Nothobranchius furzeri: one gene and its partner. The protein of the gene in region 1 purifies or fractionates together with the protein of each later gene. This does not show direct contact. Links are inferred from orthologs where the notes say so. Each region holds a gene or a part of one and is shown on either strand. Other genes may lie near its edges. The genes, in order: nfx1 and larp1.

The links.
Region 2: the proteins of nfx1 (region 1) and larp1 purify together in Homo sapiens (affinity purification with mass spectrometry, with the first as the bait; 3 studies listed by BioGRID). This does not show direct contact. The link is inferred for Nothobranchius furzeri from reciprocal best matches to the Homo sapiens genes NFX1 and LARP1.

Annotation. Positions count from the first base shown.
Region 1 is NC_091747.1:45,564,232-45,576,356, forward strand, and holds the start of nfx1 (transcriptional repressor NF-X1), read right to left. Parts: upstream 5,948-12,125; 5' UTR 5,749-5,947; coding exon 5,730-5,748; intron 3,253-5,729; coding exon 2,338-3,252; intron 2,055-2,337; coding exon 1,893-2,054; intron 1,795-1,892; coding exon 1,717-1,794; intron 1,585-1,716; coding exon 1,479-1,584; intron 847-1,478; coding exon 775-846; intron 693-774; coding exon 553-692; intron 471-552; coding exon 371-470; intron 295-370; coding exon 77-294; intron 1-76. Other genes in the region: asap1b (arf-GAP with SH3 domain, ANK repeat and PH domain-containing protein 1), read left to right, coding at 9,005-9,130. UniProt on the Homo sapiens protein: Binds to the X-box motif of MHC class II genes and represses their expression. May play an important role in regulating the duration of an inflammatory response by limiting the period in which MHC class II molecules are induced by interferon-gamma.
Region 2 is NC_091750.1:54,240,310-54,251,696, reverse strand, and holds the end of larp1 (la-related protein 1), read right to left. Parts: intron 11,090-11,387; coding exon 10,955-11,089; intron 10,796-10,954; coding exon 10,643-10,795; intron 8,524-10,642; coding exon 8,361-8,523; intron 7,620-8,360; coding exon 7,475-7,619; intron 7,394-7,474; coding exon 7,219-7,393; intron 7,148-7,218; coding exon 6,981-7,147; intron 6,893-6,980; coding exon 6,797-6,892; intron 6,677-6,796; coding exon 6,350-6,676; intron 5,591-6,349; coding exon 5,467-5,590; intron 5,082-5,466; coding exon 4,876-5,081; intron 4,798-4,875; coding exon 4,691-4,797; intron 4,601-4,690; coding exon 4,443-4,600; intron 4,361-4,442; coding exon 4,216-4,360; intron 4,140-4,215; coding exon 4,030-4,139; intron 3,929-4,029; coding exon 3,801-3,928; intron 3,729-3,800; coding exon 3,525-3,728; 3' UTR 3,295-3,524; downstream 1-3,294. UniProt on the Homo sapiens protein: RNA-binding protein that regulates the translation of specific target mRNA species downstream of the mTORC1 complex, in function of growth signals and nutrient availability.

The DNA of each region.
Region 1 (12,125 bases):
AAGTGTCCAGCATGGACAAACTTTGGCTTTCCTTATTAGATCCTGCTGAAAAGCTTCAGATGACAGTTCTCCTCACCATTGGAGCCACAGGGTAAGGGCTTGTTACACGTCTTCCCACAAGAGGGGATGGGGTCGGAACAGCTGTTCCGCTCAGAGTAGCCCAGATCCAGGAGTTTGGACAGCGGGGTCTGACCACAGGGACACGTCTTCACCAGGCTGGGTGAGCGTGGACATGGCTGGCACGGCCCACGGTGACACACCTGCTGGCACCGGTGAGCTTCACAGCTCAGCATCCTGAACAGACGAAAGGAAAGTATGAAAGGAATCGTCCCGTTTCAACAAAAGTCTGTTCTGTTGCGTCGTCACTCACTTGGAGCAAAACTTTTGACAGGAGAAATGTCCAGAACCGCCAAATCCTTCCTTATCTGTGCCGCAGGCGGCGGTGCGAAGAGTAACGCCACAGTAACAAACTACACACACGGAAAATCAACAGATCAGAAATCTAAATGGTTTACTTTCATGAAACAACATCTTTGAGCCAGTGAGACAAACCCTGCTGGACCTTCAGCTGACAGGGCTGACACGTCCCGCTGTGGCACACCTGCACACAGGTGTGTTCACCACAGTTGAGTAAAGCTCCACACACTTTGTCACACTGGAGCGCCGAAGCCTGGCCGCAGCGCATCGGCTGACTGAAAATAATGATCCAATCGTTACCTAATGTGTCAAATAAACAAGACCATTGTTAAAGATAAAAACAGGACGGAAGATTACCTTGTCTTCCCACAGACGCAGGACTTGGTGATGAATGCGGGACACTGAGGACAAGGACCAGGATGACACAAACTAGAGAGACAGAAAAGTCTCCATGAAATCAGAAATCTAATGATTATTCTGGTCTCACATTAGAATGTTTCCTAACTAAACATTGAGCCAAACAACAACAACAACAACAAAAAAACTATCCAAATGAGACACGTATCCATTTCACCACCCAGGTGTGCACCTGCAGATCTGAAACTCTTTTTCAGTACCTTCCAGAATGAGTTGTTTCAGGGTATTGTCACTTTAAGAGAACAAACTGGAGCTGGCCACGCCCACCCCTCCCCTGCTCAGGCTGCTATAAGCTGAGAAGCTCCAATATCTGGGAGGAGCTCAGAGTAGAGCTGCTGCTGCTCCTCCAGCAGCAGCTCTTATGTATGAAAGGTGATTCTATTCTTAAAAAAACAAATAAATAAAAACACCCATTTGTGATGTCACAAACAAGGATTTTTCTAAACGGCTTGTTTTAGTCCCATAATTCCTAAACCCAACGCTGCCAGAAAACGGATGGGCATTTTTTTAATAAATGAAGGGTTTATAGAGGCAGTGGAGACCCACATGGCTGCACAAAAAAATGCTAAAGATGTCCTTTTCAACTACAGTTCTGCGAGATGAATCGTATCAGCTCACAAATCTTGTTTTTTTTCACAGCTCACATGTTACAGGGGTGGTTGCAGTCCACACCGCTCCTCTTCTTCCCACACATGTCACCACAGCTGTGGGGAATCTCACTGCGCTGCCACTCAGGGTTCGTCACTTTACCTGCCAGTCCAGAATTGGATGAAAAGAAGGACAAAGGAAGATGTGACAATTTAGGCCCGTGACCCAACTACAAGATGATGTGTTGAAGGGAAATGTGAGATGTGCTTGTGGGTGAAGAAATCAAACACTCACCACAGAAGCAGGTGTAGGTGGTCGGGTGTTTCAGAGTAACGTTCTGACAGGCGGGACAACGCCAACCTTCAGCCGAGTCTGAAAAACGGATTCATTTTAACTTCGAATGTAGATTAATCATAAGTCTGACCAACAAGTAGAAAATAAAACGTCCACACAGGGTCCAACAGCCGTACCGTCTGCCTGAGAGGCTGGGGATCGAGCCCATTTCTTGATGCAGTTCAGATGGAAGACGTGGAAGCAGCTGTGGCAGCTCCACACCGGGGCCATAACCCGAATCACGTCGCAGCACACCATGCACTCGTACTTCTCCTCCGACAGCTGTTCAATCAGACATCCTGCGGAGGAGAGGCCAGAGGTTGAGAACAGATCGCTGTAAAACAAACAACTCGTTCTGAAACAGATTAAAGAAACTAAGCTATCTTGGACTGAAATGCATGCTTTGATACAGGTTTAGGTTTTTGACAGAATAAATGAAATGAAAGGTTTGTATTTTACACATTAGAACAAAGTAAAACTTCCTGATTTATTGGATTTTTGAAAAATCTAAAAGAATAGAAAATAAGAGATGAAAACGTGATTTATTCTTTGCTTTCTCCATTAGTGAAGATGACCTCTAACCTGTCTGCGTTTCTTTGCTCTTGGGCATCTTCTCTGAGCTGCTCTGACCCGACTTGCTGTTCTGACGGTTAGTTCTCCTCCCTCCGTGGCTCTGATAAGGTCTTTGAGGTCCCGAGCCTCTTCCAGGCTTACAGACGGGATCCTGAGAAGATCTGCTGAAGTCTGGGTCATGCTGACCACCAGCACCCCTCTCTAAACTCACCTCTTCTGGAGACGGTGCTTTAGGGGGTTTGATTGGTCCGTGCCGTCTCTTTGGGTCGTCGTGTTTCTTCTGATGGTCGTAATGTTGAGTCTGAGTGCCTGATTTGCTCTGTGGAGTTCTCCTGTTGGTCTCAGAAAAATAGTTTTCTCCTCGGATACTTTGAAACCTGTAGCCTGGTACGGTTGTGTTGTTCTCCCTTGTATGATCCCTTTCCTCCATCCGTTCGCCCCTCTTAAGCTCCCTTTTACTGGAATTTTGAGCTGGAGCATCCCGCTCCTTGTTAGTTTGCTCAAAATCTCTATTTGCACCACCTCTTCTCCAGTTGGGAGCATCAGGCCCATCCATGGGATCTGACTGGTAGCCACCTGTGTATCTATGACTTGCATCATACTGGCCAAAGTCACCAATGTGTTTTTGCCCCCGAGGGCCTGAACCTGCCAAATTCCTGTTTAACCCTCTGTTTCCTTCTCTCCTTCCTCTTCCTCTGCCTCTCTTCCTAGCAACATCCTCTCCTTGATACGGAGGATGGTTATACTCTGAATAATTAAAATGATTAGAACCAATCGGTGGTTTAACGCACTGCTGAAAATGCCCATATTGGTAAGACGGATCATGGCTATTACTGCTCAGGTTTCGATCGCCGTTGTGTCTGGGTCGGCCTCTTCTAGGTCTGTGCTGGTGTGACGGCCCATCAGAGCTGAGGTCAGGTGGATCTGTAACAGAAACAGTACAACCGTACACTACTGACCAGTAAAAACAACCAATCACAGTAAAGTTACAGCACTTAAACCTATCACTTTTAACAGTTACTGGACTTAAAAGAACAATGAAAGAAATTTTAAATAACAGCGGCTTTTATCAAAGCTGAGATTTTCAGCACATGCAATCTTTTAAACAAAATCTAAATCAGCACTTCTCTGGGATTTTTCACATCTTTTACAGTTTTTATCTGAATCTCAGTGGCTTTTGTGACATCCAGTCCTTGAACATGACTGTACCGGTGTGCTTTGAAAGTGAGGAAAGTAAAGATGGAAGATTAAAGAAGTAAAACACTAAAAAAAATAAACAATTTTTAATGATAATTTCTGATTATAATCGGCCACTCTGAGTTTTTCATGCAGGCTGAACATGAAAACAGTGTCCTGTGTTAGCTTCTGATAATAAAAAAAAAAGACTGAAAGGCTAGGATTTGAAAATCCTCACAGATCTATGTCACACTGTGAATTTGCATTTATGGCTTTGACCATCTTGGCTCACACCCGCCCACAGGGAGGCTTTTTTTTCTCAGAGAGAGCGGAGAGCATCTCTTTATGCTAGTGACTGCACGCATTCTGCTATCGAGGAGGTGTGCATATCATTTACAATAATGAGTAATCCTGCTGTTTTCAGCCCACCTCTGCAACAGCAAACTTCTGCATCCCAGAACTGGAACATTATAACTTTTTATGACTCATAAGGCATTGCTTAACACTAGAAAACAATGCAAATGTACTGAATAAATGAGTAAACAGATTCAATAAAGGACGTGGTGGAAACAAACTGTAGTATTTGTGGACAGGTTAGGATCTATTCTTAAAGCGTTTTTGACAAGTTGTCAATCAAAGGTACTGGTTCACTCTGCATTTTGGAGCCTTTACAATGCCTGAATAATTACAAAATAAAGGTCTAAATTCCACAGAACTCTAAAGCTGATTGTCCATGCTTTTATTTCCTCTTGTTTAGATTATTGCAATTATTCTATCTTTACTTGTTTTAAGAAATCAGATGTCAGTCGTCTTGGTCCAGAACGCTGCAGCAAGGCTTTTAACAGGAACCAATAGAAGGGCTCACATAACACCGGTTTTATCTTCTTGACATTGGCTACCGGTCAAGTTTAGAATTGATTTTAAGATTTTAGTTTTGACTTCTAGAGCTCTTAATGGACGAGCTCCACAATATTTATCAGACCTTTTAATCCCTCACTCTTCTGGCCGCACTCTACGGTCCTTGGGTCAAAACCTACTGAAGGTCCCTAAGACCAGATTTAAAACTAGAGGGGACCTGTCCTTTCAAGCTGTAGCTCCCAGACTTTGGAACGCCTGCCTTGCCCTTGTTTCTTCGTGTGGCCGACTCTGTTGATTCTTTCAAAAAGCAGCTGAAGACACTTTTATTTGACAAGCTTTTATGTAAGTTGACATTGTGCTCCTGTCCTGTTTTGCCTTCTTATGTATGTTAAATGATAAATGACCCGCACTTGTATAGCGCTGCTCAGAGTAAGGACTCCAAAGCGCTTTACACTACAGTGTATCATTCATCCATTCACACACACATTCACACACTGGTGGGGATGAGCTACATGTAGCCACAGCTGCCCTGGGGCGCACTGACAGAGGCGAGGCTGACGAGCACAGGCGCCACCGGTCCCTCTGACCACCACCAGCAGGCAAGGTGGGTTAAGTGTCTTGCCCAAGGACACAACAGCAATCCCGGAGCCGGGATTGAACCGGCAACCTTCCGATTACTGGACAACCCGCTCAACCTGTTGATGTGAAGCACTTTGTGATTTTATCTGTGAAAAGTGCTATATTAATAAAGTTGTACTTACTCTAAAGCCACTCAACTAAATCATTTTTTAAATTAAACAAAAATCTGGCAACTTATTTAACTGAAAAATACACGAGAACGATTTAATTTGTTAGTTTCGTAGATACACAACTAATATCCATGCTCCAAATTCAATTCAGAAAATCCAAACCAATGACAAGGAAAAAAACAGAACAAGATGTTATTAAATGAAGTCATTAGTATCTGGAGAAGTTTAGAATCGGAATAAATGTCATTTACACTAAAGTTAATGTGGATTTAATCCTAACTTTGGAAATAGCGGTTAGCTCTGGAGCTAGCAAGTCACATGTTTCAGCTCCTGTTACAGTAACCAGATCAGCTGTGTTATCGGTTTCAAAGTTCTCAGTCACGTGTTGTCGTGTCTGATAAAGAACAATTCAAGAGTCACCTCGACAAGCATTTTTAAAACATTTATCTTTACTTCAAAAGTTCTCGCTAACGAAACACGCTAACACAACTAGCGCGAGACTATGTTACAATCAAGCTAACATGATTTATCAAGTATTTTTAAAAATAAACTCACAAGGTAGCTATTATAAATGCCAATTCATTTATCATATAATTATTTAAAAAGTACGTTGGTTACCAGAGGAGCCTTCAGCCATTCACTTAGAACTCCACTTTTCCAAAGTTCACCAACGGCAGGTTGTTTTTTGGAGCGATGACAAGTTCAACCAGGCGATCGGAGACAGTGTCCACCTCCTCACCTGCGCCTTGATGGTTCAAACTAGGAATAATCCACGTTAAAACAATATTATTCCCACCTGCGTTGGCTAAACTCTCCGGCTGAAAGGCTAGCACCGATTCCCGACCGGAACTTCCGCTTAGGATTTTCAAAATAAAATTACTAGCAAAATGAAAGGACGTAAAATATTAAACTGCTTAAATCAAGCGTAAATCAAACAACCTGCACACAAAATGATTTACTTTTACAAGCAATATTTATACATAAACAAAACCTGAAAAACCATTTATAGTTGCTCAAAGACGTAGTTTGATAACAGGAAAGTCATTTGTAAGGACCAGTTCAAGTTTGAAATAAAGATTGCCTAATGTAAAATAATTAGTTCCTTTATTTTCTTCAGCAGCCTTCACAGTTATAATGTTAAAATGCACATAGTAAATATTTACATAAAAAAAGGCTTTTATGCACTTGCATAACAAAAAAGTTTAGTCAGTGTTGTATTTGATGAAACCTAATTCCAAGTCCCCCTTGGAAATTTTTGCCAGGGACTCTAAGAGACCCGTGCAGTCACTGTATTAGCTTCCATTTGATTTGTGTTTCCATTAAAAACCACATAGTAATAAAATGTACGTATGTACACTAAAGATTTTTTGAGATTTTTAGATTTAAAATGACTGATGTTAGCTGCATATTCTGTGAACCTAAAAGAGCCGTTATGGCATCATCAAACCTTTTTTTTGCTGATTGTTTTTGATCAATTACATTTGAACATGCTTTACAATCCAGTGATGCTCACCATTCACCTTTCATTTAAGACCAAGTTATATTTTTTCTCAGTGGTTTTCTCCAGTAAAAATGTGAAAAAGAAAGAAAGAAATGTCAAAGAGGTGTCAAAGGTCATGCTTATTGAATACTGAGCCTAAAGTAACACAATTAACATAGTAAAATTGTTGAATATGTTGCTCAAATTAAATGGTCATAGAAAAAAAAAATATTTTTTTTCCCATTACGTATTTTTTTTATTTTTTGCTGGATTTTTTTCCTGTGAATAAAATCCTTAATTTAAGGGAGGAAAAAGAATAAGTCTGCCCACAGGATGGCGCTTCATGTTTGAGTTTGTCCATCAGCGTAACAGTGCTTTATGGCAAGCCAATTTGCCATATATTGGTTTCTCAAAGAAAGCATCCTCAATTGACATTTTATTACTATTCTTTTAATTTACCCCAAATATTCAGATATGACAGATGTCCCTTCTGGACATAAAAATTAGAAAAACAATAAACATGTTTAACAGAAATTCTTGTTAGTTGAAATTTTAGATATACAGAATGAGACTTTTTATTTGAAGGTGTGTGGAAAAATCAGCAGGGTAAATGTCATTATTATTTCTGATATCAGACACTAGCAATTAATCAAAAGGTTATATGTACAATACAATGATTGATTACGCGTTAAAATTGATTGTCACACTCCATGATCATTGAGACTTTTGAGGCATACAGAAAACCACAATATATTATTTTATTTTGGTCTATAAATCACATTTACTTTTGGATGCAATCTTGTAGTTTGAAAGAAAAGTGAAAGTGGGTGATGGTGAGATATATCTTTCATAGCAACTGTTTTAATGAGTTAATAAAAATCTAGAATAAACCTAAATGAACAAATGGATTCGGCTTTACATGAGAGCCGGGAAAGAATATATAAACTTTTAATTTAGAGACCCCAAAATATAATTAAAGACTTTGATATTCATTATGAAAACCACATATTTGACCTAAATAAGTGGGTTATTTAGCTAAATACCACACGAAGACAAAGCTGGTGCTTAATTTATTTTGATAAGACACCGTTTTACAAATTATAGGCAAAAACACTAACATATGTTGTGGTAAAGCAGATTTTAGTCATTAACGCAGGAGAAAATGACGCTCCACGCTCCTACAGGCAGCTACAGCTAGCTGCCATTAATTAGATGGGTTTCTGATCATCGGATAAATCCCTTAAGTGCCATCGATCCCTAACAGACCGCTAAAAGTAACAGTGTCAGAAGTTACGTGTTTATTTTTCGCACATCGTTTTCTATAACAGCCCTACAGCTACGCATCACTCAGCCCTCAGAAGATCCATGGCGCATGCGCAGACCCCGTGAACGATGCGAGGTGGGTGGGTAAGAAATGAGTAAAGCGATACCAAATACCGGAAACTAAATGATTTGCTTTTCAAAACGAAGTAATTCATGTGAAAACTTGGTGACAGTTGTGTTCCTGATATATTATATATTCACGTATTTATTCATAACTGAGCATTTGATTTTTAAACGTGACTAGTGATAATGTGTTTTCCTGTACAATGGAGTCAGATATTTTTGTCATTTCAATTCAATTCAAGTTTATTTATATGGCTTCAACCATTCGTAAATGTAAATGTTTTTATAAAGCTATAGTGTCTGAATTGAATGAGCAGTAGTTCAATTTTTACGTATTGAACATATTTTGAAAATCTAAACCGGAAGTAGTGCTTCCTCGTACTGCTAGCTTAACTCTTAGCCCCTGCACAGCTCCGAACGCGGCCGAGCAGAAGAGATCGTCAGTGAATGTGTCTGCGGCACCATTTAGCTAAAACACAAACTACGGCTAAAGAAGAGAGGACCAAACCACGGAGCAGTTCCAGACGACCACGGCACACCCTGGACTATGATAAAACCCACCCTCGGGCCGGTAACGGTGCGCTGTTTCTCAACGTCGAGCGGGTTGTTGCACATCTGTAGATCATAATGAAGGCATCCGCTATTCTTCACGGCGGTTTTTCCTCCGAGGTTTAGTTAGACGCGGGGTGACACTAAATATAAATGTGTCGGTCTTAGACCTCCTCTCAAGGAAGCCGCTCGCCGAGGGTGAACGCACCCTTAGTTTAGACATTTAACACAAAGTCATCCACGGAGAACAGTGAAGTCATTTGAGAAGCCTCGGCAGAAGGAGACACGTCTTAATCATCCCTGATAGTTTTACACAGTTCAGCTCTGCGAGGAAAAATCGGTGCTTTCCTTCGAGCCGCGACCGTCAGATCCCCCCTGCAGCTTTCTGGCTTGTTTTGTGACTCTTGCATGGTTTTGTCTTTCTGAGCCTACATCGCCGAGCCTTCCTGTGGGCATTTCCCCCCTTTCCCAGTAAAGGATGCCGGATCAAATATCGGTGTCCGAGTTTCTCTCGGAGACGACAGAGGATTACAATTCCCCGACAACATCCAGCTTCACCACCCGCATGCAGAGCTGCAGGAATACAGTGAACGTGCTGGAGGAGGTAAGGCCATTGAAAGGTTATTTAACAGCAAAAACTCACATTCCCCTTTATGAACAGCATTGCTTTTTTAGTAATATCCAATGAAACACACCAGGTTGCAATGACAGTCTGTTAAAACGACCTGATGGTCATTTTATCATCCACTCAAGGATCTAAATTGAGTTTTTTGTTGCACAAAAACTGCACCTGTTGCTGCAACTGTGCATTTTCTTATGATGCAAAATTATTCACATTCATTGAGACTGATTGAGAGGCCCTCATCCGAAGAAATCTTTTTAGATATGGAGTAATAATGGAGGAGGAGGATAGCTTTGTTGGAAGAGTGCAGGGAATAGAAGGATGTGCACTTAGGCCTGCAGCTCTCTGTGTTCACTATTACATAACTTTCAAGTATTCTGGCAGGGTTGCAGCTGTGTTTGTGTGACAGAAAGACCTATTTTAGTCACTGGCTGCTGTCAGATGTGGCTTCAACTGCTTCAGAGTCATTTGTCAGGTGAAACAGATTAAAGAAACGTTTAAAAATCACACAGGATGAGATGTAATCGGGTCAGAGAGGTGGGTTTGTGTTTGTGTGAGTGTGTCCCGGCTCCTGCTGATGATGGCATCCCTCCTGCCATGATTAAATGGAGCATCAAACCAGGAGGGAGCACACCTTCGTTCACTGCTGAATCCAAAATGTGAACTTATTTCACACTTTGAATCAGGCATGAATTACATCAGGATCACAGCTTTTAGTGTAATCTGTTCTGTAAAGCAGGAGCGTTAAACGTGACATCCATTTATGCTGCTACAATCTAAATATCTGCATTTAAAAGGGACGTTTGAGCTAGTTTTAATAGGGATGCATCTATTCTTGACTTGAGTGTCGATACCAATTTCTGATTCTTGTACGATTCTTATTATTATTTTTAGTTTGGATTAATTAGAAACATTTCTCTGAAAGTAAAACTGCCCCCTGGAAGCGATGGTATTGCTAATGTAAATTGGCACTAAGTGATGAAATGTTCAGGAATGGGTGAAAATTTCACTTTTTTTAAAGCTTCCCAGCATTCGTGCATTCACAACCTCCTGACTCTTCATGACTGATAAGCTAATGGTTAGGCCGAGATTCTTAAAAGTAGTGTAAAAGATTTTTCTCTGAAGCTTTTTTTGCCGTATTGCCTAAAATGCTTTTCACATACCAATGAATTAAATGTTGTATTAAAAAATGTTATGTAAGAAAAAAGTAAATAAAATTTTAATAATAATTTTATTCACCTCTGAAGTTTAGTCAATCCTGGAAAAACCTAATCCAACCATTGTGAACGTCCCATTCTAAGTGATTGGATCTTGATTCATTCATCAAACTACCGTATGACTCAAAGGGCATGCCCCTCTGTGTGCAAAAATTGTACGTTTTTGGCTTGAAGCATCTGAACAGGAAGCAAATCCAGAGGCGGGCTAGCAATATTTGCTAGCATGCTAAGTTGTTATACAGTTACATAAGCTGTTTTTACAGGACCATAGCGTTTGCAAAACGGGATTTGCCGCGGCTCCCTGGGGAGGATAAAGGTTGTTCATAAGATCAGACCGTGGCGGTAATGTGGTGCAATCGTGGCAATTTTAGAAAAGATTAGGTGATGGTGGCATAAAGGGGGTATGGGGGCGGTCTCTGCGCTGCCGCAGGCTTCCATTTCCCCCTGAGCCTGAGATCAGTGGTCTCCTCTAAAAAGCAGCTGAAAACTCCCTTGTTCAAAGTGGCTTTTGTACGACCTTCTTCACCACTCTCTCTTTATTCTGCTCTCCCCACCTATTCCACCTTCCTCAGGATCCACTGATTTCCCTCTTTCCTGTTCACTCTCTCTCTTTCTTAACATTTTTTTTAATCACAATTGTCTGTTTTTTGCTCATTTTAAATATATTTTTAACAATTTTCTAAATTCTTTTTTATATTTTTACATTTTTAGTTTTTGTGAAGCGCCTCGTGATTTTTATCTTGAGAGGCGCTAAAGAAATTATATTTTCTTCTTCTTCATCTTATCTTGGACATAACTTGCTTTTTATTGTGATTGAAGCCGTGATCGTTAAGTTTTTTTAACAAGCAGCTCCTAAAGGTGTCTGTCCCCATCAGTCCCTGTGCAGTCTCTGGTGATCTGAGCTTCAGCTCTAACAGAGAGGGTCATGGAGCGCTGCGGCGCTCCAGTTTGCCATCTCAGCTGATTTTGTTCAAAAAGCAAACCTTATTGCCTGTGTTTACTTTCATTTTCAATAAATTTGCCAGCCGGAGCTCAGCAATAACTCCCCATGTCATCATGACATCTGCCTCTGTTGCGCCAGGGCGCATACGACAGACCATTACCGCAATATTACTACCAAGCGAGGCGGAACGAATGCCGCAAAATTCGCGCAGCGCCATGCCGGCATGGCGCTTTTATAGACATGCCATTGCGGTAATATTACGCCCATTTACCGGCATGGTGTGTCTTATAAAAGAGGCTTCAGCCTGTGTGGAAATAGCAAAGTGGGTTTTCAGTGTAATAAGCCCAGTCCTCTCTACTGGATCTAGTCCCAGTGGGTTTTCTCTCTTAAATCTTCAGTGGGAAGGAACAGAGTCCGAAGAACTCTTGACCGGCACCGGACTCAGAGGAGTCCGCCAAAATCCTTGAGGTTCCGTGGCTGTGATGTAAGTGCGTTAAAATAGGAAGTATGGCAGAAGAGGTGAGATAACCTCGTTTTGTTTTTTTGACAATTCTGGCATTCTCCGTGTTCTGGGGGCGTGGCTTAGGGAGGAGCTTGAAGAAAGGGGATTGGACCTTTTGAATGTTTTTTTTTCAACATGTCTGTTTTCTGAATGGCTTTCTCCAAGATCATCTTACCTTTAAACTAGGGATGGGTACCTTTGACATTTGAATCGATCCGGTACTAATTCCCGGTACCTACGAGTCGATACCGGTACTTAACGGTACCAATTTTCGATACTTTTGAGTGTTTATTATTTTAATTCTCTTTTATAATT
Region 2 (11,387 bases), on another chromosome or scaffold:
GTGCGACCGTGCCGACAGCTGGTTTATAGTCATGCATCATGAGTTTTCTCCGTTTGTAAAAGTCTGTAAAGTATGTGACTGGCATGGTCGAAACACATTATTATTTAAATTGACGTACATCATATGTGCGATTCAGGGCGTGAAGCCAAGAAAATCAGAAAATAACCGTTTTAGCCCAGTATTTTTTCATTCTTCCAGAGACCCATGAGCAGACCAGAAAACTCCCTATACTAACATGTTTAATGACCCTGACTTAATTGGAGTGCTCCCGATGTGCTAAGCAAACCAGAGCACACTTAACACACCACACACGGCAGGAAGATTATCTTTAAAGACATCACAGTAATCCAGGGCATCCTTAATATTGTTTAAAAAAAATTATATATATAATGAATTTCTTGTGTGTGTGAACCGGGCCTAAGAGGAATATTGGGTCTTTGGGACAGATATACTTAATAAAATAGTTTTTCCTCAGTTTTCACTTTTAACTGTTAAATTTAGGATTTTTATTTTTTTTTTTCAAATAAATGCTCTTCTTAAGACTTTCCATCACTTCGACTACCAGCTTCCTGCACCAAAACCAAACCTCCAAATGCTGCCAAAGACTTAAACTAAACATCTGAACTTCTAATGTAATTAATCTGACATTTTCTTATGTATGATGGGATTTCTAGAACTACCATGACTTTTAAACTAATTTTATCTACCGGTACTTTATTTCCATTTTGAATTTCAGTGTTAAACCTGGATTCATTCCTAAACGGATTTCCTAACGACACTTAAAAGCACCACGATGTAGCTCCAAGAGTTGCACTTTATTGTTGTGGCACTTAAACTTCTCTAATGTTAAATGTGAACTTTTATACAATTTACTAAACTATTGGTTATGAAGCCGTCTGTAATAAATAAAAGTTTTTCTGTGTGTGTTTGTGTGTGTGTTTTTAGTGTTCAGTCACATGAGAAATGATTCCACAGCATCTGGTGTTTAAGGTTTTTTGTCAGTTTTTGTGTTTTTTTTTCTTTATTAAAGGAAAAGCATAATTACTACAAATTACAAATGACACTAATAGCGAATCACGTCAGCCTACAAAGCAGATATTATGAATATTAAATGTTATAATACAAGGTCTCATTCAAGTATTTTACATTTTTCCCATTTTATATATTTTTTTGCTCCTTTTATCCATTTAATCTTTTTTTTTTCCTCATGACAAGCCTAGGATCATGTTCTGAACTTTAATGGTTCATACAGTTGTTGCTTAATCATATGGCTTTATGGAAATCTGTCCTATTATTCTCAGTCTCCAGACATCAGAACCTGTCACTCTTTTCCTTCCCACTTTTCCATGTCTTTCTCTGATCTTCCCATCTTCAGTCTGCTCCTGTAAAACTGATGATCCGAGTAGGCAGCGCCCCCTAGAGTTTGTGAGGGCAGCTAGCAGCACTTTGATGCTGTAAACCCCCCAATAAGTTGTTCACAAACAGGTGATGATCACATTAAAGGGAGGTGACAGGGTGGTGGTGGGGGGGGGGGGGGGGAATAACGGTCCATCACATCCAATCACTCAAAGGCTTCTGGGGAAAAAAGTGTGTTTTTGTTGTGGCTCATATGCTTCAGCCTGGTAAACACTGCAGCAGCTGGAAGTCTAACAGATTCAAACCTCCCTGAAGATGTGACGTGAAGCTGAAGCATGTGGGGAACAGCTCCAATTAGCTTTTTATTTTACATCCAACAACGCTGGATTTGAAGGGAACAAACGGAAAAACACTGACAGGAAAACGTGACGTACACCGTAGGTACCGACAGGCTGAATCATCACTACAGCTAGACTTGAAGAATCAAAAACAGGCACAGTTTCGTCTAAATATACCAGGTTTCAATGATGTCACTGCAGCTAAAAGAAACAAGCAACAAAACAACTGGTTCATTTCTGTGTGAGCTAAGACTTTTCAAATCTCAAAAAAAAAAGAAAATAAAAGTAAGATTTTCTTTCAAACCTACGAAACATATGAAACAAAACTGATGGTTCAGTAATTAGTTAGCCAGGTTTTTGTTGGAAATCAGACTCCCAGTTTGACAACGGTGCAAAATAGTCGTCAGATTCTACAGGAGTCATCCCGACTTCACCCAGGTGAAGACGTTCCCTTTTGTGTGATCACACGGCTTTGATTTTTGAAATCCAGATGTTTTTTTTGAGCCACATCTCCAGAGTAAACTCTAGGCTCTAGAAACACAGCAAATGGAAGTTAAAAAGCAATAAGAGTTAAAAATAGAACACACATATAGGCAAAGATGTGTGTTCTGTAAGGGCTAAAACAAAGCAGGGGATCGTTCCTCTTCATCAGTCTAATTCACAGTTTCGCCAGTGGAAAGGGAATCTGTTGGATATCATCAGGTCTCGAGCTGGATCAGGGTTTCCATCAGAGGAAAACAAAAACACGAAGCCGCTGCTGCAACTGTATCTGACTGCACTCCTTAGTGTTCACACCTGTAACCGATGTGAGAAACAGGAAGCAACAAGGTCCAATACCAGCGTCTGTTCTCCTCACAATCATCTAGTAGTCCAGAGTGAGGATTTCAGTCCTGCAGCGGTGTTGATGCTCGACTGATGGATGGATGGATAAACAGATGAATGCAACATGTCTGACAGATGTGGGAAGAGAAGCACCCAAAAGGAAGTCGTCGTCAAGTCCCACTTCCTTTTTTTATTTTATTTTGAAGGGTCGTAGAGGAACGGTGATGAACTTCCATCAGCTTTCAGCACACAAAGCTACAAGTCGTCACAATAACAGATCAAAGGACACGTGGAAGACAGTTCACAGACAAAGATGAAAGGAAGCGGAGGACAATTTGGCAGACAAAACGCCACCCAGTGGCCTCAGGTGGAAACCGATGAGACAAATGGTGATTTTGATGCTGTTCAATCGACAGAACGGTGGCGGGCACAAGTTGGAAGCAGTAAAACCATCAAAATAAGGCAACTTTCAATAATCTGTCCAAAGTGAGGGGTTGAAACAAGTCACTTATTCTTTCATAGTTCCCCCTCGGTATCCAGCCATAAAGGAAATCAAATATTTCTCTGTTTGAGCCCCGGGTCTGGAGAGGTCGGTCGCCCAGTTGAAACCACTTTGGTCCGGCTGAACGTCGGGAGCAGCTCAGCTTCCAGATCAGTCCGGTTCAACCACCTCCTGCTAAAGAATTCTGAAACACGACGTCTGAGGAGGAATCCAAATCTTTCAGCCAGCAGGAGATCAGAGAGCGAGGGGGAGGGAGGGGGAGTCGACTTAGCAGGAAATAAAAGTCTCGGACCGCTCAAGATGTGTTTTTTTTATTCCCTCACGATTTATTTGTCTAATTAAGGTTCTAAATTACTCCAAAGGATCTAATAAAACTTGAGAAGGTGGCTTTTGTTTTCATCAGATGCAGAGCTGGAGGCTCCTCCCCCTCCGGTGGCGCAGAAAGAACCGGTGATTTGAAGACGTGGTGCAGTCGATCCAAATGGGCCAGCGCATCGGTGCAGCAGTTATTTCAGAGCTTTGGCGTCCGGTGTGGGATCAGCGCTGTGGGCGGGGGCTTTCTGGGAGGGGGGTTTGGCAACATCCTTAGAGGCAGGGGCGGAGCCTCCGCTCGCCTGGCTGTGAGGTCGGCTGGAGGACTGGGAGGGATGGCGACGGCGACCGTCCCCACTGGACGCGTGTCTTTTCCGGCCTCCTTCCTCCATCGGTGGCTGGAAACAACAATAATTATCAGTATCAGAATTTATTTCACCTTTAATCTGGATTAAAACAAAAACTCTTACATCTATTCTGAAATCCTCCAGTCGTTTAAACTTGCTCAGGTGCTCCTGGAGTTTCGGGTCGATCTCCAAAGTCTTGGCTTTGGAGTATTTGAGGAAAGCCCAGAACTTCTCCAGTCCATAAAGCTGACCTGAGATCAGCAGACACAAACACAGTTTTATATACTTTCACCAACAAACGCTCGTTTAGGAGGCCTAAACTGTCAGAATGATCCGCTTCATGTTTCCTCACCGGCTTCGTAGTCTTTGACGGTTTCCTCCTGGAAGTCCTTAAAGATGTCTGGTCTGAACTTCTTCTCCAGACCGTAGCTGTAGTACCTGAACAAGCACTCTAAACCGTACCTGTCGCCCACAAACACACGAGGAATCAATTTCAATCAGAATTTAGAAACACAAGTTCTCAAAGCCGTCACCTCACCTGTAACCTTCTTTCCCGTCCTCCACCACCAGCTGTCTGAACTCCTCGTACATCTTCCTGTTGAAGTGATCCCGCAAGAAAAACGACCAGAAGCGGAAGAGCGTGTTCATCTCCTGCGATTGGCCGATTCCAAGCCGCTTCCGCTCTGTGATTGGTGGAGAGCAGAGATGGGGTTACTCACAATGAAGGATTACTCCTGTAGAATAAACCGTGAGGAGGCGACGTACCGTTGAGGCAGCGCCGCCGGTACTTGTGGTAAACGTGTTGCGTGAAGCCGTTTTCCTTGAGCAGCTCGTGCGACGGGTGCTGGAACTTGGGGAGGGACTGGGGGGTGCAGCCGATGTTGCTAAGGGCGGGGGTGCCCTCTGACGGGCTGGCGTTAGAGCTGGGAGGGAGGCACAAGGAGCAAGAGTTCAGTTAGATCCGAGACTGGGAGGAAAACATCAGCGGCAGCATCAGCACATGGACGTCCCACCTGACGGAGGCGGTGCGGGAGCGATGTTCTCTCGAGTCCATCACCCAGCCAACATGACACTCCAGCGGCGGGTTTGAGCTGTGCCGGGTCTTCCTCTTTCTGGGCGTCTGAAACAAACCCAACAAGCGTTTATCGTTCCTGTCAGTCTATAAGACCTCTCGCTTTACCAAACCGCTTCCCCTCACCTTGGCGTCAACCGGACGACTTTCCTTCACCACCGGGTAGAAGCGTGGCGTCATGGTTGGGTCTTTTCGGTGAGGGGTGCGAGGCGTGCGGGGCGTCCGGGCACTGCGGTAGTTGGGTGACTCGGGCACTGTGGTGGGGAGCGAGCGGGCTGTAGACGAGGGTTCGGGGGCTCCAAAGAGTTTGTTGGCTAGAGCGTCTGTAGGAACTGAAGACGACGCAGAAGGAAAAGTCAGGAGTTAAATCTCTAAAACCGCCGGCTCATTCTATTACAACCGTCTGAGTTTCACATTTCAACGTGTTTAGAGACGGAAAACAAATGAAACAATCCCGTTTTTATCCACTAGATCATAATAGACTCAACTCAGCCATCTGACCTCAGAAAAGAAACATTCCAAGTTTTTACTCACCTTCATAAAGGAAAACCATCGACTCTAAAACAGTCTGACTAATCGTTTCTTCTTGCCCAACAGTAGTTGGGTTGTCTTTATTAATATCAACATTTGAAGTTTAATCTTTTCCATGTTGCACCATCAGGTAGATGAAGCTGGATTAAAGCGGCTTTAGGTTTACACAAACACGCGTGTCCTTACTCTGTTGGGGCCGCGGCGGCCCGGGGGGGACCTCCTGGTTGGGGTCAACGGGAGGTTCTGGTGTCAGACAGTCGAACTCCTCACGGCTGATCAGGTGGACCTTCTTGAAGTTCTCCACCTCTTGCTGTAAAAAGAAATTTGAGAAAAGTTATTGTGATTTTCATCAGAGCAAACTGCTGGGATTGTCGGTAACTAGAACAGAAACTAACGTAGAACTGGTTTAAACCAGAAAAGCTTTCGCATGAACACTGTGAAATGATCAGACCTCATCTGCAGCAGTCTGGAGACCGAGACGCAGCAGCAAAGCACAGCAGCCAGAAACACCCTCTTCACCTTCATATCTGACACGAACTGTTCCCACACACACACACACACACACACACACACACACACGCACACAGCTTCTACTTCTACTCAGAAACCCACAGACACACACAGCCCTTTATCTAAAGCTCAGGGTAAGGACAGCTCCCAGGTGGTTTCTCTCCCTGATCCTGATCAGATGTGACTCACAGCGACGGGTAAACTCCGAGTCTCTTCCATTTTCTTCCTCCTCGACCCGGCGGCTCCGATCCCCAGGCCGAGACCTTCCATGTGGGGTTTATTTATAAACAAACTGCCTTTGTTCCGCGCAGCGCTGGATGAGTGCCGGTGAACACGTGAAGGTACCACAATGCAACAAAAAGGCAGCGAGGACAACAAAACTAAACAAAAACTACTTTGTGTTTCCATTCCACATCCAGAAACAGCTCCAGCTGCCACTGAATGCATCTCCTCGTCCTCCAGTTTCGTGCAGAAATGTCTCCAAAACGTGAGACAGAAACCGCCAGAGCATGCCCAGCACCTGCTGTTCTGGTGATGTCATCAAAGAGTGCAACCTCACCTTGATGGTGGCGTACTCGGGCTCGAAGTTGTCTTCCCACAGGTCCTGCTCGTAGTAGAAGAGCCCGTCGTTGATGACTTTGGCCAGCTCGCTGGTCAGCTTGGCGCGCGATGTGTGCTGACCGGTGCGGTCGCCCCCCGGATGTTTTCTCAGGTAGGGCGGCGTCTGCGTCACAATCAGGATCTTGTTGATGTCGTTGTCGTCCAGCTCACCGTCCGTCTCCTCGTCCGACCAGTCGGTGAAGGTGTTGCGGCGTCCGTCTATCTGCTCCATCTCCTCATCGAACATGAAGTCCAGCTCCTCGGGTTCGTCCTGCTCTGCTCCGTCCTAATCAGACAACATAACACCACATCATCGTACAATCAGTAGACATGCATCTGTAAACAAAAATAACAAAACGCCTCAAACCGTTGGATCAGAAGAGGGGAAAATGATTTCCTCACTCACCTTATTTCCTGAGACGACAGGGGATGGAGAGGAGCCGGGCCGAGGAACCAGAGACCGAAGAGATTCGTCCTTTTCTTTCTGCTGCAACACAGGGACCTGATGTGAGTCGCACAATAACGGTGGAGGTGAACCAAACACAACAAGATAATCTTCTGCTAAGTTTTCAAAGGTTTTCGGAGCTCACCTTCGGTCTGGCTGGAGAGGGTCTGGGCCTCTTCTTCACCTCGATCCAGGACTCGGAGTCCAGATCAGGGAGACTGGCGGAGAGGCCCTTGGGCATGGTCTTGAGGTTGGAGATATCTGGTTCAGTCTTGGTCAGTTGTTGAACTGGCGTGGAGGCTCTGGGAGACCCTGGAGAAGAGACGAAACCCCAGGTTGGTTTGATGTTTTAGAAACATGAAATCCCAACGAACCTTCCTCACCTCTGCGCTCTTCAGACATCTGTCTGGGAACAAACTCGGGGCAGTTGATGAGCTGGGAGAAGTCGGTGTGCGTGTGGTTGGGCATCATCAGACCAGGAAGAGGCCACTTCTCTGGGTCTTCCTTCCGCCGGATCTTCATGTCGATGATTTCCACCTCTTTGCTGCCCTTTAAAGCCTGGCAGCAGATAATCAATGTTCAGCTTCCAAACGCGTTTCTTTTTACTGTTCTATAAAAACAAACTCCAGCTCCGCTAACCTCGATGATGAGGTTGACGTCTGTAGTGAGCGCCTGAACTCTGTGGAAACTGGCGATGAGTCCGATGGGCAGGAAGCCCTCCTGATCCATCTTCCTCCGCAGGAAAAAGTCCCGCTCCAGATTGTCCAGACTGAAATAATACTCTCTACAGGGGTGAGAAGCGGGGTATTCAGAGGGAATTTGATGCACAATGAAACAAAACGAGGAATTTGTGGATGAATTTAGAATTTATCACATTAGAAACCAGGACAAGATCAGGTTTCAGCTCCAGATAAGACTAGTTTTACTTAAAGAGCAAGTCACCCCCTAGCAGCCACTCCCATTTCCTGTTTGAAAAATGCGCCACAGGGAGTTGTTTCCGGGCAGATCCAGATGGCAGAGCTGCTAACAAATAAACACACACAGGCTCAGTGGCACTGTGCCCTCATATGGTACCAGGAAACATCATAGGGTACCTCTTAGCCAATAGCAATGGCCGATTTAAATTAAAATGTAGTGCGGAGTATTTTACCTGAAGAGGGCGCAACACTGACAGTTTTAGGTAGAATATTTTCATTTTAACTAAGATGCATTAAAGTGCCAAATTATTGACTACCCATGTTTACAGCACGATTAGACACTCATTTATATCGTTGAACAGCAAAAAACTGATCTGGGGTGACTTGCTCTTTAAGGGGATCTGCCACAGCTGGTTTGAATGCTTTAATGTATTTTTTATTTAAATAGAATTTTGGGGCACCATCAAAATAAAATCGTACCCACAGATTATATCGTGTGCATATTTGGTCAAAGTGGAGCAGGAGTTTATCAACTATGATCTCTCTGCATTGACTACCCATCAGAGATGAGACATGAAAGCTCATCACCTCTGAAGTTACAAACTCACATCTGCCTCTTGATGTAGTCCTTCAGCAGGTCCTGGTCCACGGTGTACAGATCGCTGCTGCTCATGTTGTCATAGTAGTAGGTGACGGAGCTGTTGAACTTCTGGCTGTACGGTCCGTCCTTCACGTCGTAGGACTTGTAGCCGAAGTGGTAGTCGTAATGACCTTCAGAGGAAACGGACAGAGCGCCAAGATCAAATCCACTTCTGCAGCTTCAAAATCCTGTTAAACAGCGTCCTTTCTTTAAATTTTATCATGGAAGAACTCATTATTTACAGCAACATTTCAGAAGTTATAGAATCGAAAGAGCCTGATTGCTTAAGAAGTAAAGCTTTTATACTCACTGGCGAAAGATAAATGTTAAAATAGTTTCTTCTGTGCAGCATCAAACTCAACAGCACTTTGTCTAATTTATTCTGTTATTCTGCTCTGCTCACGTGGGCAGCCACGGCGAGACCTGGAGAGGTGTGGTTGGGAGGAATGGCCCCCCTGACGTCTGGCAGTCTCCAGTCAGAAGGAGCCTCTTCCAACTGAAGTGTGAACTGATGGAATGCAGCTCGGGTGGTCGCGGAAGCAAAAACTCCAAAAAACAAGCATAAGCATGGGAGGAGTTTGGTGAGATTACAGAGAAAGACTTTCATACGGCTTTGAGGAGATTCTGGTCCACTATCCGGCATCTAAAGGGGTGAAGCAGTGTGCTACCAACACTTTTTATAGTAGGGATGGTATGCTGCTGACCTCGACTAGAGACGCTGTGGTGGGCGGAGCACTTGGAAGACCTCCTTAATCCCACTGGCATATCTTCCAGTGGAAGAAGCAGACTCTGGAGACTTTGGGTTGGATTCTCTAATCTCTGATGCTGAGGTCTCTGAGGTGGTGAAAAGGCTCCTCTGTGGCAAGGCCCCAGGGGTGGAGAAGATCTGCCTCGAGTTCCTTAAGGCTCTGGATGTTGCAAGGCTGTGTTGGTTAACGCAGCTCTGTAACATCGCGTGGACAACGGCGGCAGTCCCACTGGACTGGCAGACCAGGGTGGTGGTTCCCTGACTTAAAAAGGGGGACCACAGGATGTGTTCCACCCACAGGGAGATCACACTCCTGAGCCTCCCTGGTAAGGTCTATTCAGGACTTCTGGAGAGGAGGGTCTGTCGGGTTGTCAAACCTCAGGTTCAGGAGGAAAAATGTGGTGTATTATCCCTCATGAAGTTATTTACACCAGAAGACAGTGGAGATGTGCAACTTCAATCTGACCAACAATTCTGGGTGTTTCTATTGACATTTTTTGAGTTTATTGAGTTTGAAGACTGCCACGCGTAAACACGCTTCACACACATGATCCAAAGCTCATTTCATCGTGTTCAGGACACGGTGGGTGTAGAAGGGATGGCGCAAACTCCGCTTGTAGAGACAGACGAAGCAGGAATGTAAAAGAAGAAAGGCAGATGTGAAGCTGAAAGTAAAAGTGAGTCACATAATTGATGTGAAAATTCCAGCGATCGTAATAAAACAGCAATACTAAAAAGGGGAAAAACTGTACTTTTGAAATCCGGATGAATGTGAGATTTAATAAAGCAAAGAGCAAGTTGCCACATGAGGGCTTCCCTAGTAAAAACATTAAAATGTGTAAAGATATATTAAGGATTGTGCCGAACTGAGCAGGAAATCTGAGCATTAACTCTAAAAACCTGCTCAGCCTGAAATCTGGACCAGCAATGGTTGAAGAAAACAAAAAACAAAAATCAAAAATCTAGAATTAAAAACTGTGTTGAGTTGTCTGGACTCCCCCCTTATCTTGTTTAAAGTTAAAAACACACTCATACCGAGCTGGGTAACAGGAAGCAGAGAAGAAAACGTGAATGAACAAGGAGTGATGGGAAGAGAGGGAAAGTGTGAATCCGAGGAAGCTGAAGCCAAAACAAACCAGACTTCAGGGAAAAGCTGCTTGTCCTGTCGGCTCCAAGGCCTTTTCCTCATTCCAACACTCTCTGGATGTTATTACACTGTTTTTCCTGTTTTCCCTGCAGCCTCAGTGGAGCCGGATCAGGGCCACAAACCAGCCAAAACCAGAACAGCAGCAGCAGGAATCACAACATCCAGAGTTTAACTGCAATTTGGTCCAGAACTGAACTAAAATCTGAAAACTGGCCGCACCCCTCAGAAAAATAACGTTTCAAATCCTCTGGACAAAAACAGAATGATGCATCAGAGAGAAATGTTCCACTTTAAAGGAAGAAGGGAAATAAAGCTCGGGTTTCCGTCTCGGCAGAAGAGAAAGTTTTAATTCTACCATGTCCTCCGCCTCGTCCTCGACCTCGTCCCCTTCCTCTCCCGCGTCCACGACCTCTGAACCCTCCACGGAAAGGTGCCCCCTCGCTCTTTACGCTGGACACTTCGTCGTGGTCGTCTCGCCACTCCCGCTCGTACTTCTGGCTGTGCCAGTCTATAAAGGACAGATTTGCATTAATAAAAAAGGAAGTAGAGCATCAGCCATGATGCTGCTCAGCTGTTTATCAAACCACACCCTTCACTTAATCATCACAGCAGACCAAAGACGCTGCCCGACAGCAACTAGCGGTGTTAGGGGATGACCCGGACTGACCTCTGAGGTCGTTCCTGGCGTTGGGGGGCAGGCGGGGGTGTTCGTTCTGTCTGCTGTTGTTCCTGGAGGCCGAGCGCTCTCTGGGGCCCTCAGAATTCACCTCGATCATCAGAGGAACCCACTTCTGCTTGTTTCCTGTTTTAAGACAAACACAAGTGTGACAGAATGAAACATTTTTACAGGTTTGTCTTTTCTGCTGTAATCTAATGAAACATTTATAGAACTAAACTACTTTTATTCTCGTGTTTGTGAATGGTTTCAATCTGAAAACTACCTTCATGGTTTAGTAACTTTCTGCACTGGTTGCAGTTCAACTGAAACGCCATGAAATGATGAGAATACATTAAAACACCATTTTTCTGTTAACTCAACAAAAGGCCTTTTTTAACAGAAGCCTTTACTGTGAAAGTGTGTGATGGAGGAAGTGAGTTTT